Schizosaccharomyces pombe: one gene and its partners. The gene in region 1 interacts genetically with each later gene. Each region holds a gene or a part of one and is shown on either strand. Other genes may lie near its edges.

What was found. A genetic interaction does not mean that the proteins touch.
Region 2: mutations in pfd4 (region 1) and ase1 together harm fitness more than expected from each alone (negative genetic interaction), as found in Schizosaccharomyces pombe (2 studies listed by BioGRID).
Region 3: mutations in pfd4 (region 1) and hhp2 together harm fitness more than expected from each alone (negative genetic interaction), as found in Schizosaccharomyces pombe (2 studies listed by BioGRID).

The regions. Positions count from the first base shown.
Region 1 is NC_003424.3:502,732-507,594, reverse strand, and holds pfd4 (prefoldin subunit 4), read right to left. Parts: upstream 1,687-4,863; 5' UTR 1,612-1,686; coding exon 1,240-1,611; downstream 1-1,239. Other genes in the region: yip5 (Rab GTPase-binding protein), read right to left, coding at 303-1,052; atg10 (autophagy C terminal domain family protein), read right to left, coding at 2,003-2,542; yea6 (NAD+ transporter), read left to right, coding at 3,502-4,617.
Region 2 is NC_003424.3:1,876,189-1,882,183, reverse strand, and holds ase1 (antiparallel microtubule cross-linking factor Ase1), read right to left. Parts: upstream 3,996-5,995; 5' UTR 3,823-3,995; coding exon 3,399-3,822; exon of another isoform or gene 3,352-3,398; coding exon 1,580-3,351; 3' UTR 1,458-1,579; downstream 1-1,457. Other genes in the region: GTPase Ypt71, read left to right, coding at 274-354, 706-804, 859-1,305; SPOM_SPAPB1A10.08 (uncharacterized protein), read right to left, coding at 4,603-5,225, 5,298-5,925. UniProt on the Schizosaccharomyces pombe protein: Required for anaphase spindle elongation and microtubule bundling in both interphase and mitosis. Has a role in spatial and temporal regulation of septation and cytokinesis and ensures equal partition of segregating sister chromatids.
Region 3 is NC_003424.3:1,047,315-1,052,593, reverse strand, and holds hhp2 (serine/threonine protein kinase (CK1 family) Hhp2), read right to left. Parts: upstream 3,597-5,279; 5' UTR 3,560-3,596; coding exon 3,396-3,559; intron 3,230-3,395; coding exon 2,506-3,229; intron 2,420-2,505; coding exon 2,105-2,419; 3' UTR 1,458-2,104; downstream 1-1,457. Other genes in the region: SNARE protein Bet1, read right to left, coding at 420-623, 673-811, 855-865; atp18 (F0-ATPase subunit J), read right to left, coding at 5,003-5,064, 5,109-5,159, 5,209-5,278. UniProt on the Schizosaccharomyces pombe protein: Involved in DNA repair. May regulate the activity of protein(s) involved in double strand break repair caused by gamma rays.

The DNA of each region.
Region 1 (4,863 bases):
ACAATTATTTTTACTAAGGCATGATTCATCAATGCATAAGAAATGATTATTTATACGTATTTTGCACCTGAAAAAAAAACCTAGTAAATTGAGGGAACATTAGTAGCTATAGTAAAAAGAGTAGAAAATCAAATGTAAAGCGAATATATGTATAAACTGAATCATATAGAGTATACCAACACTTAGACTCAATAGGATCTTAAATGCTGAATGACTTTTCTAAAGAATGAAAGAAGGGGAATAGTATAATTTTCGAATGAAGCAATGCGACTGATAAAAGAAACTCCTCACAAATTAGGATATTAACTGAAGAATATGAGTTGAAGAGACAAAGCGAGCAAACAGTGAAAGACGATAATTCCGAACAATAAAAGTTTGCACAAATTTGATCCGGCTTGCTGACAGATAGGATATAAATTTCTAGTTAAAAACACAATGGAAATTAACAAACCAATCCCTGTAAGTACATATTTGACAATATGGGAGGCCAAAGTAGATAGCAATCCAAACGGAGGAGTTGCTAAAGAAACGGGAAGCCAAACAATGTTAGCATATCCATATAAACACAGACAGTCGAGTAACTTAGGGTTGCATTTGTTCCACACTAGGATACCCCATAACAAAACGGCGATAATGGTAGTGTAACCATAAATAATTGATGCTGCAGAGATCAACTTTTTTATAGAATAGCCACTTGTACCATGCCCTGTGGCATAACGAGCGTATTCGGTAATTGAGTTGGAAAAGAATAGAGCCTGTATAACCGTAGTGGTTATCCAAAAAGGACCGTATAAATCGGGACGATCATCTACAACATCAAAGAAATTTACAGTGGGAATAAGAGTATGTATACATCGTTGAACCACATCTTTAGTTTCCACGTTAAATGAATCTTTGATGGTCCATGGCGTCTCTTGCATGGATGCGCGACGAGATTGTAATCTAGGGGCCGGAGGCTTTGTAATGGGAGTTCTCTGCTTATAAAGGTCTTCAGCCTCAAATGTTGTACGACCTAGGTCAGCTTCCGAGTCAATTTCAATCTCATGTGCCATAGTGGTGGTTGGATACTTGTAATGGCTTAGGGTGAACAAAGAAGTTTACTTATTGGAGGCGCTAATTGCATACAGATTTGGTATTGTGAATAAATTTAAATGCATGAAATGTTATTTAATTAAAGAAACTAATTCAGAAAAATAAGATGAAGCTTCTAATTTTGAGATTTGCTGCTTTTTCCAAATCTTAGTCTAGGTTAATTTGATCGTGAAATTTAGAGTACAGCATTGATTTCAACTCTTGAATGCGGGTTTCGTCTTTTTCCATGGAAGATCTTAATACGTCGACTTGCTTTTCCAAACTTTCTTCTGACTGCTCAAGCTGGTCAAGGAGTACAGGAAGGGAAACTTGGAAAAAGGCATCGCCAACCTTTAAAGCTGGAATATCGTCTCCATCATCCTCGTCTAGTAATTCACATTCATTTTTAGCGTCAACAATATCCTCTATTTGCGTTTTTAAATTCTTAATATCAAGTTCTTGAATGGCCTTTCGAGAATGCAACACTGAAAATTCATTTAAATTCCTTTGATCTTCTGCTAGAACAGGAACTTGTTCCATATTTGTTGCTAAGGTGTGTTAGGAGGAATAGTATATAACCCGGTTTCGTTTGTCTTAACAAACAATTGTTGGTGTAGAGATCAATGCGGTCAAGTAGAGGTTTAAGTGGAACAGTTGAATGATATGTCAAAACAGAAGGATTATTAATTAGTATAGTATTTTATCTACAAATTTAAAGAACAAAAGCTATTTTCTACAATTGAGGTCTTCAGATCCGTAATGTTTTTGCTGTCAAATAACAGGTCAAAATTTTACTATAGATTCACAGGGTATTATAAACTAAAACCAGAGAATACGGATTAAATTGACTTTTAATTTAGTTTTAATCATGGGGAATAATATTTAATAAGACAAAGTCTTAGCAAGCATACCCGTTTATAACAGGTTATCTTTAGGATTTTTCGGCATCGTCAACTGCTTTTATTATAGGCTGAGTTAGCGGAGAAAGGACTTGATGAATATATAGCAACCAAAGAGAGAGATACTTGGGATCCTCTTTGTCTATCTGAAGCATTTCGAAATAATCACGCGTACGACATGGATGGATATACCATGCTATGCCTACTGTACCTGGACAGTCCCCAATAGCAAGAGCGTCATATGCTAAATTTTGACTGGATCCTTCTAATAACTCAAAAATCTGTTCCATCTTGGTAAGAGGATCTGATCCGTTTGCATAAGGTTGAAAGAAGAACTGCGGGACTTCGAAGGATGGAGAATCCCTAATCCAGGCGTGCATAGTGATCATTGGATTCATAAGGCTTAAAATATCATCTTCTTCCTGCTCGTATAATAAGGAATCATTTTTATCAAGTAGCTCAGTATGCCATTCTAACTTCAAAATACACTCATCAAACTCAATCAACTCACAAGAAATACCACCTTTCGACAGCTTCTGAGCAAGGATAAGTAATTGAGACTTAAAGCTCATTATTGTCACGGTTAGCCAATTTAATCACTTTATCTTTGCTAAAGCAATAAGTAATTGAAGAAGGAATTATTGTCCCATAAGCCTGGCTACAGTCTGATTGTTCAACGCACTATTCCAATGAGGGCAATAGAGGCAATCACCTGTCAATATATTTGAAGTTAAGTCTCGACAAAAATGGTGTTTCAGTTATTTACAAGTATATTAATTCTACATCTTGCTTCTAAAGTTGACAATAAGAGTATGACAAAACAGTACGTTGGAGTTTACAAAGTTATCCAACAATATAGTGGTACACTGTGTAGTTACTACGTTTTCAACATTTCTTCTCAGCAAATGTAGGATTTCTTAAAAAAATAATTTTTTCGACTAGAAATTGGCGGTAATCAAGAGAAGCTAATGTATAAAAACAATATGTTTGGACTTGGAAAAAAATGAAAAACTAAGGTTTTATATTAGTAATTTCCTCTTAATACTTATACGAGCAAAAGCAAAAGCAAAAGCACTGTTCCAATGGTGCTTATAAAGCCAACTGATCTGTGAAGTAAAATTGAGATATGTGTGTAAAGCTGTTAGCAACATCAATGTCACCATTATATATTGTTAATGGGCATTACGACTTTAATCATATCTGATATGCACATATAAAAGAAATTCTCTTTTAAGGGCATGGAACGTCCTCTCAATTAGTAATTCGGAGACATTCATGTCGTTAATGTGGTTTACCGCACAGTGATTCGACTTTCTTATTGACGGCTGCCAAACACTTTACTTACATATATGTTGTTGTACAGCTTCTTACATCAACGCTAAAATATATATACATTTCCAATTTGAAACATCGTAAGGCGTTGGATCGTTCTTATCAGCGTCTAAAAAAGTAAAGAATTTGTCAAGGTCTATTATTTAATTGCTGTTTTCTTTAGATGCATGCATTATCATCAGGAAATTGATCCGTCTTTATGGTTGATGATTCTCTAAAGGATGCTATAGCAGGAGGAGCTGCTGGATTGGCCTCTTCTCTTGTAGTGGCACCTTTAGATGTAGTAAAAACAAGAAAGCAGGCACAAAAGGCTTTTTATTCAACTGGTGGTGGAAAAAATACAATGGTTTTGGGTGGGACCCTCAGTTCGATGCGAACAATTTTTCACAATGAAGGCATCGCCGGTCTTTATAGAGGTGTTGGACCCATGATGTTAGGTTATCTTCCTAGTTGGTCCATTTATTTTGTAGTCTATGAAAAATGCAAAGTGCTATTTGGGGTAAATAAAAAATACACTTCTCTCCACGAAATTGATTCGTCCAAGGTTGGCATCAAGGCTTCCTTAGATAGTTCTGACAAACAATTTTATCGTTACTGGGGTGGTCAAATCTTTTCTGCGGTTATCGCCGGTGCTGCAAGTGTCACTCTTACTAACCCCATTTGGGTTGTAAAAACAAGGTTAGTCACTCAATCACATCCTAGGGCTTCTTCTTTTGTAGATAAAATTGCTGCGGCTACAACCGTCCAGTTTCGTAATCTTCAAACGGACGCACCATCCGTCAAATGGAGAATGCCTCGCTTTTGGCTCAAGCGTAGGACGAATGTCAAATCTTCTCCATCACAGCATCCAGTGAATCCTCCCACAGGCCCTGCATGTTCACCTGCATACAACAACACATTTGACGCATTTCGAAAAATTTATAAATACGAAGGCCTTGCAGCATTTTACCGAGGTCTTTTCCCCTCTTTATTTGGTACATTGCATGTTGGCATCCAATTTCCACTGTACGAATATTTTAAATCATTTTTGGATGATTTTTTTGGTAAAAAAAGCAACTTTCATATAGTGTTAGCAGCTACTTTGTCTAAAATCGCAGCTTCTACCGTCACTTATCCTCATGAAGTTTTGAGAACTCGGTTGCAGAGTTTGGATGCACCTACACACAACTCGGCTACCTTACTTATTCGAGACATATGGCGTTCAGAGGGTTGGAGAAAATATTACTCTGGCATGGCAACAAATTTTATACGCACCATACCTGCCAGTTCGGTTACCTTCCTCAGTTTCGAAATTGTTCGCAAATGGCTGAACTAATTTATCCGTTGTGTATATACTCAAGAAAACGATCAAAGTCTTTATTTTTTTAACGACAATCCAAGGTTAATCAGTTTCCTTGAGATGTGTGCATGATTTCTAATATTAATTATTACTGTCTCACAGCTGTTAGGTTTTCCTAATTCTTATTCTTACCCCCTCTCATCAATATTTATTTAATAATTACCTTTTATTAAGCATTTGTTTCTTGTGTTACCAGCCCAGCCCTATTTTGAGACTGGATGA
Region 2 (5,995 bases), 1.4 Mb from region 1:
TCCCAGGATAGTAGTCAGATAACTAGATCCTTCACTGTAATGTCTATTGAAAGCAAATGTATCTTATTAAAAACTTAGTGAGTTATTCGTTTTCGTTAAATATTGTTATAAAAATTTACGGTAAAGATTCGTATTTAAAACAACGCTATGCAACGAAGTATTGTAATGCTACTTACTGTAATGTGTCAAACTGAAAGACACTATCAATGCTGTCCCAGATGGACATTCTAAGGGCTGAACTTCTTACTACCAGGTACGACAGAATATACTTCAATGTCGGCTCAGAAAAGGGTGTTTTTAAAGGTTGTTATATTAGGAGATAGTGGCGTTGGAAAAACATGTTTAATGAATCAGGTATGTTAATGCTAGGGGAGTTGCTGATGTGGTCGACGTATCGTACAGACGAGCTTTTTTAAGCATTACCCTCGAATTCAACCATTGATGGTGTAGTGGTTATCAATTGAAGCGTTAAATTTTATACGTTCAGTATATTTTTCTTTTTGGTTTTTGTATTGAGCTGTAAAATCCAATACTGCAATTTCCCATTGATTTTATGTCGATAAGTTGTTATTTGTCGCTACAAGGTGATTGCTTTTAAAATTTATTCACTTTGTTATTAAATACTAGCTCAAATATGGTTAACGATCTTTACATCAGCTTCTCTATGAGTATTGCTTTGGCAATTTGTTAACATCGTCATTTTAGTTCGTCAATCAAAAGTTTAGTCGCGAATATAAAGCTACCATCGGTGCTGATTTTTTAACCAAGGACGTTGTGGTTGACGACAAATTGGTCACATTACAGGTAAGTTCCAATATAAGTTCCGCCCATCTAAATTCGTTTGCTAATTATAAACAGCTTTGGGATACTGCTGGTCAAGAACGATTTCAAAGCCTGGGAATGGCTTTTTACAGAGGGGCCGATTGTTGTGTAATTGTTTATAATGTGAATAACTCGAAGTCTTTTGACTCAGTAGAAAACTGGAGGCAAGAATTTTTATATCAAACTTCACAAGATGAATGTGCATTCCCTTTCATTATCGTTGGAAATCAAATCGACAAAGACGCGTCTAAACGAGCCGTATCTCTTCATCGAGCTCTTGACTATTGCAAATCCAAACATGGATCAAATATGATTCATTTTGAAGCTAGTGCAAAAGAAAATACAAACGTTACTGACCTTTTCGAAACAGTCAGTCGTTTAGCTTTAGAAAATGAAAGCTCGAGAGATGACTTTGTTAATGACTTCTCTGAACCTTTGCTTCTTTCAAAGCCTTTGAATAATACATCTTCTTGTAATTGCTAGATATTCACACGCTCTCTCAGATTCTTTTACATTTCAAAATGTGCTATACGTTTTCTTTTCATAATATTTTTTTACATTGCTATTTTAACAAAACTATGGTTACTTTCTGTTCTTAATTCTTCTCTTTTCCCTCTATTGATACACGTTTTTTTTTAGGTGTAAATAGTCTTTTAATTATGACCTCAGTTAATAAACTTTTATGAATTATCTATATGCTGTATTCATATGCAAAAATATGTATATTTAAATTTGATCGATTAGGTAAATAAGAAGCTTAAAAGCCTTCTTCTCCCCATTCATCCTCCATCGGTGTACAATTTGTAATATTGTTGAGTGGAGCAGAAAAAATGTTGGTAGTGGGGGACGGTGATGATGGAATTGTCTTTACGGGTGATGCTCTTATGGGGGATATCTTCATAGGAGAAAAAGGAAGGTTCTGCGAGCTGTTTTCAATGTCCATCTCGGGTGTTTGTTCTTTCAGATTAGTTCTTTGCAATTTTTCCGACATAATATTTAAAGCGTGTTCATTAACTACACGCTGCTTTGGAGGACTTAATGGGACGTTCTTAGATGAAGCCTTTGAATACGTTTCATGAGGAGTTCGAGAGTAATTTGGGTGCGGTGACTTGGATTCAAAATGTGTATTGCGAGATACAGAATTTGGAAACTTGTTAAAAGGGGTATTGGAATTTCCAGAAACGGGTGAAGAAGACATATTGCTGTCACTACCATTTGCCCCTTGTCTTATCATGTTCGCGCTTCGAGACCGACTAGCACTGTTTAATCTAGCGTTTATATCAATTCGATTAGCAGTGGGGTGTCTTCTATTGGCGGTACTGGTTGCTGATGGCGGTTCTGCACTAATGGAACGACTTGGATTTTGAGTGTTTTTTACTCTAGGAAGCGGTGTCCTTGGACTCGTCATAGCTCGAGAAGCGGACCTAACACTTGGTGTTGAAGGTACAGCTACACGCCCTCGTTGAGAAGGTGTTCTATTAACAGAGTCCGTTGTAGTTGCTGTTTTCGGGCGGTTTGCGGCAGCACTTGCACTTCTATATAATGATTTTGGTTGAGTGGCCTCTTGGCAAATCTTGAGAAGTGGTTCATCATAAAAAAGGAACGTCCTTCCATTTCTTTCTTCCCATGCTGTAATCTCTGGTATAAGCAGCGACTGAACCTTAGGAAGTTCTCTAGAAAGTCGCTTACGGATTTTCTCTTCACGTAGAAGTAAACCTGGGTCCCGGCGTCCCCGTTGTGTTAGACGAGAGGCATCATTAGAACTAGCTTCAAGCTCTTTCTTTCCTTCTATTAAAGAGGCATAGCGATTAATTAAGCTTAAAAAGGACTTATTAGCAGAAACTTCGGCCTCTAGTTGCTTTATATAGTTTTCATGGGCCGTAAGAACCTGCTCTGTAATAATGTCTTCATACATAGGTGTAAAGGACTTTCTTTGTTCTTCTGAATAAAACAGAGAATCCCAAAGCTGAAGAATTTGTTGACGACAGTCTTCTAAAAAAATGGGTAAATGCTCCTTTTTTAACTGATGAAGTTTTTCAAGTTCAGTTTCCCATAATGAAATATTTTCTTGATTAATGTTTGATGAATCGCCAAATTGACTTTGTTCATTGGGAGAAACTTGAAGCTTATTCCACAAGTTGCTAACTTCTGATTGTATACTTTTTAAATGATCACTTCTCTTTTCTTTTTCAGCGGAAAAAACTTCTTTTTGCTTGCAAAGTTGGTCGATAAGTTCTTGAGTAACATAAACATCATTTGGTCGATTAGTATGGGATTCAAGCAATTGTTCGTATTGTGGAACATCAGCGGGCTCAACACCGAGTTCAGACCACAAACCCAAAATTTCTTCTTCAAAGGAATTAATAACCTCTAATCTCGCATCAATCTCCTTTTCGGCTTCGTTGATGCGTCCTCTCAAAGATTCAGTAAAAGCATCGGATACATCAGATAAAAATGAATTCTCAAAATCAGGTAAAACGAACGGACTTCCTAAGCGGTTACAATATGACTCCAATTTGTGATACATTTCTATACATCAGTTAAAACACAAGTCTAAATTAAAGACGATTACATACCTTTAATCGTACTTAACTTTTGATCATACTGTGCCATATATTGTCCTTCTACCATTGACAAACGATTCAAACACTGAATTAAAGGAGACTCAATTTTGAGACTAGAAGTATCATCCGTTAACTTTAATGAGGAAACCAAAAATCTGATTGAATCAATTCTTTGCTGACAGTCATCTTCAAGTTTTTTCTGGCACTGTTCCATTTCATGAAGCTGGGCATTCATTGCCGTTGTAAACAACTCAAATAATGATGAATTGTCTCCATCTGTTCCAAGGACTTGGTGAAGCCTTTCAATTTTAGAAAAATGCTTTTCCACTTGTTCACGAAACGCTTTCCAAGTAAAGTTAGATTCATTATTAGAGTGATTATCTTTTTCAGCAATAGAATCAGTGCTTTGAATGTCATCCATCATTACTGTTTGCATTGAACCGGTTGATGTAAATGAGCTCAATAAAACGATGTTTGAAATTCAATTAATAGAATATAAAGGAAGATATGAAAACTGTTAAGATGTTGATATATTATAACATAACAAGCAGTACAAGGAATTAACCTTGCATAAAAGCTTGGCACAAAAATGGTGGTTGGATATGGCTTGGCCTGCGAAAGTAACTCAGCATGCGCTTATATTCCAAAGAAAGCAAATAGATTTCAATGTCAGCACTGTATAAACGTTATTCAGCTCCTTTTAGTATAAACAAAATACTTAGAATTGTAAGTTGAAGAATATTTATGTGCCTGAAATATACCAATGTAAGGAAGCACATAAAGTTCTACAAACTGGTATCTTTTGCTCTACCTAAAATATGATACAAGAAAATTCAAATACTGCTTAAAAGGATACAAAGGCTTACTTTTTAAGTCTTATCGTAATCAATATAATTAGACTTATGCATACAAAATATCATCTAAGAGAGAAAAGCATTCATGATTTGTTCAATTCTTTTATTTGCTCATATTCAAAGACAGGATCTAGGACTATGGGAGAATTATTTTATGTAATATTAACCGCAATTGGGATTCAACCCAGTATCGCGAAACCCATTTCCTTTAAAAAAAAAATCATATACAACAAAAAGAAACAATTGTGAGTCGATTGTCCATAAAGACAGTAGGGATAAAAAAGTATTGGGTGAGAAAAAAATGAAAATAAATATAACCAGCTTGGAAGAATGCAAATGTATATAAGTCATGCGTTAAATTTTTACAATTCAACATGCAAAGGGCTAGTGGAGAAGGTAACGGCAGGCTTTGGGAGGTAAATTAACTGGGCTCGGCCAGCAGTGTTTGCTGATAGCTTTCCAGCTCGTCGCATTTGAGCTTCTAAAACAAATACTCGGAAAAAATTAGGATTTAATCGAGGACGTCTGATTTCAGGTTTCACACTTCGCTTTTCCCAGGGTTGAAGCGGGGTGTACAAAGTGAAATTGGCATCTGGCGCACAATCCTCCATCAACCAATCATCCTGAAAAAGCTTGAAATTTTGACAAAGCAAACCATTTGTCAGGTTGCTTTCGCCATGCGAAGATGAGAGATTTAAAATGGAGGCACTTGGATCCAAATGCACTTCTGGCTTGTGAAATACACGTCTGATGATATTACGAGATAGCGACATTATTTTATGCTGTAAAGAAGCTCGAGACTTATTTAAAGATGCTAAAGATGTTTTTTTGGACAACCTAGATGAGTAGAAATTAGATGATAAACTAGAGCCACTCCTATTGCAGGCGGTCAAGTTAGAGGAAGCATCCTTTGATTGTTCCAAAAAAGAGGATTGCTCCTCAAGACTTTTAGAAAGTGGATGGTTATGCTCTACGGGCTCCATAACTATGATATTGTTAGCAACGATGAATAAATAAAAGATAAGAGAAAAGGTTGAAAAATCTTAAAAGAACATACATTGACCTCTTAAACGAGGAACAGATTTGGATTTTTTTAAGTTGTTAATATTCAAGTAAATATCAAGGCTATTTGCGTTTACGAGGTTACAAGAGGAAGAGCTGGGAGTTGCAGGATTTGGCCCCGAATAGTAAGAGTAAGAAGCGACTGAAGACGTTTCCGAAGCAGAGTAGGAGGAGTATTCAGGGAATGAATTACACGAAAAATTCCACAAACAGTCGTAAGAATGAGAGTTGGTAGAAGCAGAACACTCGACAGGTGTAGAAAGAAGAAAGCAGTAATCACCTCTATTAACATCATCATTGTGTAATTTTTTGGACGAAGACAAAAAACGATCTAATTGTGATTTAAGAGTTTTTTTATTAGATAGAGTACTCAAGCGATGTGAAATTTTTCTATAACGATTGGGAACAGGGATCTTGGTTTCACTCAGCAACTGAAAAACGGCGTCTTGCTTTGATGCACAAGAATGGGTATCCTGAGACTGATAAATTAAATCCATCTCACTAGCTTGAGAGCTGCAAAGATTATGATCCCAACATTCGCATTGACAAGTTACCGGAGCTACTTCTGTGAGTGCTTTAGAGAAGCCAATTTCCAATGGTCTTAATTCCATCCGAGTCATCATAGAAAGAAATGTAAAAAGAAAGAAAATATAGCGCCTATATATAAAGCCAATTGATCAAATCCTACCGGTT
Region 3 (5,279 bases), 540 kb from region 1:
GCTTGGGAATAGAAAATGCAAAAGACATGACCTGCATGCCGATAAACTTGAATAAAACTCAAATGTAATAGTTGCGTCAATTTACAAAAATGGTAAGACGACGAGTGAAGGGCTAGTATCATGAATAACAGATAGAAACTTATAATAACAGGATGTAATAAGTTAAAAACAAAGTCGTTAGGAAAACAAAAATTGAGGATTTGCGTTCCTATCGTGACAAACCACTTGTGTGGAAACACCAAAGGTGGATGAATGTTTTTTTTCTATCGATAATAAGTTTAAAATAATCAGAATGAAAATGTTAGAAGAAAAGAGAATGAAGAAACTTCAAGTATACAATTTTAACAGATTATACACGCCATAAAATGAATCATAAAAATGCTAACTCTAAAAAAGAGTAAAGGTAGTAAGCAAAATGCCTAAAATCTTACCAAAACGAGGATAAGCGCAACGAGGCAAAAGAAGGCGAGCCACATCCAAATTGAAATTCCTCCATTCTTCGAAACATTCTTTAATCGAGTCATTGTCCCGCTCAAAAGTGACTTGGTCGAGTCAAATGAGTCGTTCATTGACTCCATCAACTTAGTAGAAGACGTTATCTCAGTCCCAATATTCATAGTAAGCTATTAAAATTAGTTAGCATGTTTTTCCTGATGATGGCAAAAATCTTACCTCTTTCAAAGACTTGACTTTTCCAGTTAACTTTGAAATCCGTTCATCATTTTCATTTTCCAAGGAGTCTAAATGCTGAGGAGATTGAGACTCATACAAGGGCAACATATCGCCATTGCGTTCTTTTCTTCTACCGAATCTAATGATTAGTTAGACATTGATTGATCAGATTTAGTACATACCTTGATCCCATTCTGAAGCTTTTTTTAAAATCTTTCCCTTTACCGAATATGAAAAGTATTTGGTGTAGCGCAACTTCCAAATCCTAAGATCTCTTTGTTATGTATTGGTTTTGTGCGCAAAGTCAGCTCATCAAATAACATGCGACGCAACTCAGGAGTTGCGTGTAGAGGTAACACATTGTTGTACTAAGTGACAAATCTCATTTTGCTCTGTTTTTACATTAATCTAAACAATTTTTTTTTTACCGCAGACGAAACAGAGATGATAGTTATGGGTTTAGTAAAAATAAGTATAGATCCCTTCTTGAGCCTGTAGAATATTGAATTTGAGCATCAATTTTGAATGATTTTTCTTTGTGGTGCTGATCCATAATGTGTTACTGGGGCAACTGTAATGTAAACAAATCAACGTGCTTTGTTTACATTTGTAGAAGTGAAATACCGGTGGTTAAAATACCACAGAAAGCAATAGATATGATAATATGGCAAATCGATGGATATTTTTCTTTGCTACAGCCGAAATTAAATAGTATGTAAAACTTGATGATCCAGCGGTCAACTCCAACAGAGCTAATATTTTTTACGCTACTTGCCCATAATACAGTGTGAAAAATAGCGATCTATTTAATCGATGAAATTTATCATTTATTAATGAATTATTTCTTATGCAATTGATATTATATCTTTTATTGCAAAGGTAGGCAATAAAGACTGGTTTAGAGCCACGCAAATGATAGTGTAAAAAAAGAAACATGCTCCTTGTGTATATTACTTCTAGCAATGGAGGTACAAACTTTTCAGTTTTGAATAAAAACGGAATGTAAGAACCAATGGGGAACGAAAACAATAAAATAAAATTCTGGGAAGAAGAAATTTAGAAATGAATAGCACGACTGACTCAATTCTTTGGCAAGAACTTGACCGGAACGAGCTGAATATAAACAAACAGCACGATTTAAATTTTGTCCTCTAATTATGTCTTTTCAGTAAAGCATGTATGAGGTTTACACAATATGTCTATTTAAAAAGAAGGCATTAAAACTCAACTTCTAGGCAAAATGGAATAGCTCAAAACAATAGCTAAACCTCAAAGTGTATTAGTGTAGCAATCCGGCCATCCATAGACAAAAAAGAAAGCCAGGAATTATTAAAGATATTTGTGGAACTTTAAAACGTCAACAGATGGTTTGGAATTTAAGACTAAAAGACGTAGTGTAAGAGAGGAATTGATGAAAAGTAAAGTCAAAAAATCAAGGAGCTGGTTCTTCATCTAAAACACGCCTCAGTTGAGCACTGTATTGAGGTTGCAACGAAGATGGAATGTATTCATAATCTTTGTTGGGAACAGGAGAACGAAAGGAGAGAGGAAGAGGTGAGGGAGAAGCACATTGAACAATATTAGTGGAGAAAGATTGTGGAGTCTTTGGATTCCGCTCAGCAGGTAAGGGAATGGATGAATAATTAGGAGTAATGGGATTAACCGGTTGAGTTTGTGACACCATAGGAGATGTAACCTGTGGAGGTGCTGTAGCAGAAGCGGCGGCAGCAGCAGCAGCTCGCTTTTGCTAATAATAGTTAGTCAATCGAATTTTCAATCATTTGTTAAGGTTAAACTAACGTATCACCTTATCATTTTCTTTTCAAAACTTACGTATTTTAATATCATCCAGTCAAAAACATAGTCATACTGGTATCCTTTACGAATAAGTAAATCACGAAACAGCTTTCTCAAATAAGCATAGTTTGGCTTCTCGGTAAACGAAAGCTGACGAGTGTAACACATGTAAGTGATAAACTCTTCGGGAAGACCTTTGCAAAGGACTTCCAAAGGAGTGCCAATCTTGGTATCACGTATCCGTTGATACTTTTGCTCCTTTGTATCAGCTTGTAAGCCTTGCCAGGGCAAACTGCCGCGACAAAAATAAAGTAAAACATAACCTAACGATTCGAGGTCATCACGGCGAGATTGTTCAATACCAATATGGGTGTTAATACTAGCATATCGAGCCGTTCCCGTAAGATTCTTATTATCTCGATATGGAATATGAACATGAGTTTTAAAATCCCTGTATTTTTTCGCCAATCCGAAGTCAATCATCGTAACAACATTGCTGTGCTTCTTCATTAAAAAATTATCAGGCTTAATGTCTCGATGTAAGAATGACTTGGAGTGAACATATTCAATGCGACTGATGAGTTGATCAGCAAGTAAAAGAACCGTTTTAAGAGTAAACTTTCTTCCACAATAGCAGAATAAATCTTCCAGAGAAGGGCCTAATAAATCCATGACCATAGCATTATAACTATTGGTTACACCGAACCAGCGAATTGTGGGTATGCCAATATTTCCTTTAAGAATATTATACACACGAAACCTAAATGTTAGAAAGAAAAAAGAAAAATAACCAAATGGAGTAACTTTTGCTTTTCCTTTTTGGTTGTAAAACATCGAGCTACGGTTGATAGATATAAAGAAGAAATTGGAGTTCCGAAAGAAATCCAACTTATACTTAAGTAAAAAAATATTAAAGCACTACTTACTCATATTCTAACTGATGATGACGAGCCTTTAAAGGCTCCAATTTCACAGCAACTTGTTCTCCATTTACCGTATTTAATCCCAGGTAAATTTGACCAAAGGAGCCAGAACCAATTTTTCTACCTATACGATATTTATTACCAATCTTAATGTCAACAACCGTCATTTTGCTAAGATTCTAATTCACAGAGATGACTGTGGTTGTTAGAATCGCATCATCACAGAAATCAAAGAGGAAGGCAAATAGAGCGCTGCAACGAGCTATATTTGGAGTAGAAGGATGTTTTGAATACATGATATATACAATGTAATGTGACTAATTTTTTATTTTACTAAGCAATACTTCAATGTCTTTGTTTACTTCCCTCGTCAACTAATTTTTTAAGATGCTCGTTTCTAAAAGAGTGGAATATTTTATTTAATGTTTGTACCATGATTGCCTTAAGGCTGTGGATGTTGATTGTTTCTTTACATGAGACTTAATAAATTTAGTAAGCAAAGCGAATTCAAATTTGTTGGTTCATATTTTTGCAGTGACTTCTACTGAACGCGGATTTTTTTTTTTCTTTTCCGTTAGAATAATATTTGTTTATTCCGAAGTAAGCCGTTTGTGATGTGGCTGAAATGTCACGGAATCATTTGCTCCAACAGATATTTTACCCTTCAATTGTTTGTGCATTACATTGTAGCATGAAGTACCTGAGTGGGAGCTTGTTCTGACTTTCTTCCGAAAAGTACAAAATATGAATGACATGTGGTTTTCTAGTGGAAAGAAAAGAGGTTTGGATTAAATTTATTGATACAAAAAGCAATAATGTTTTGTTTACATTATGAAGAATGTGGAATTCTAGCATATTTTTTCATATCCTCAAAGAGAATCACTTCAAAGTGATTTGTTTTGTAAACAAAGCAAACAAATCCAAAATGATTTTCTATGAACGTTCAGGATTTTACTTACAGAATCATATTGAACTGCTATTCTCTTTCAATAGTTTTTCCGATGATTCTTTTTTGGAGTGAATGCAAAAAACGATCGCCTACATGGCGAAGTAGTATTGAAAACGAAAAATGCTAATACTGCTTTATTTTTAGTAAAAGCCTCAGTTCTAGAGAATACAATACCAGCTTCAATATAGAAGTGTATACTAAACCTTCTGTAATACGTTATTTTACAGCTTTTGAAATCCGTGCCCAAAGATCTGCTTAATTGGAAACACAAAATAGGAACAATATGTTTGAGGTACTTTTTCTGAGGATTATCAAATTATCTAGGTAAATTAAAAGATTACAAAATGAGCGAATTAAATGACGACTAAGTACATAACTTTTCAGTCAAAGTGAATATTTATTTCGTGCAACACATGTATTCCTAAAAAGCATGGAAATTCATTTTTTCCTTCTGTTTATTTGAAAAGTTCATATTTAAATATACATTTAATACTTTAATTTAAATGATTGATCTCCTACAAATAAATTCGATTGATTACAGAACTTTTGATCAATTGTAACTGCTACAAAAACAAGCAGTGTAATTTCATTGACTTCCATTAAATCACATCAAAAGGGCTGAAACATTTTAGGAAGTGAAAGACATGAACTCGTCATCAACTTAATGATCACTTCCGTACTTTCCAGCCTTTGGGTTTCTAGGATCATTGCGATACTCCGCAGCTACATAGAGTTAAAAAATTGTTCTATTTCTATTAAAAACGTACAATCCATCATAGCATCACGAAGCTTTACAGTACCATAGAATACGATGGCTCCTGTCAAGACATGTTAATAATAATTCAAATCGTTGAAAAATATACATACCCCCTAGAAAAAAAGGAAGCATAGGTTTTAAAATAGGAGTAGAATATCTTTTAAGGCCAAAGAACGACATT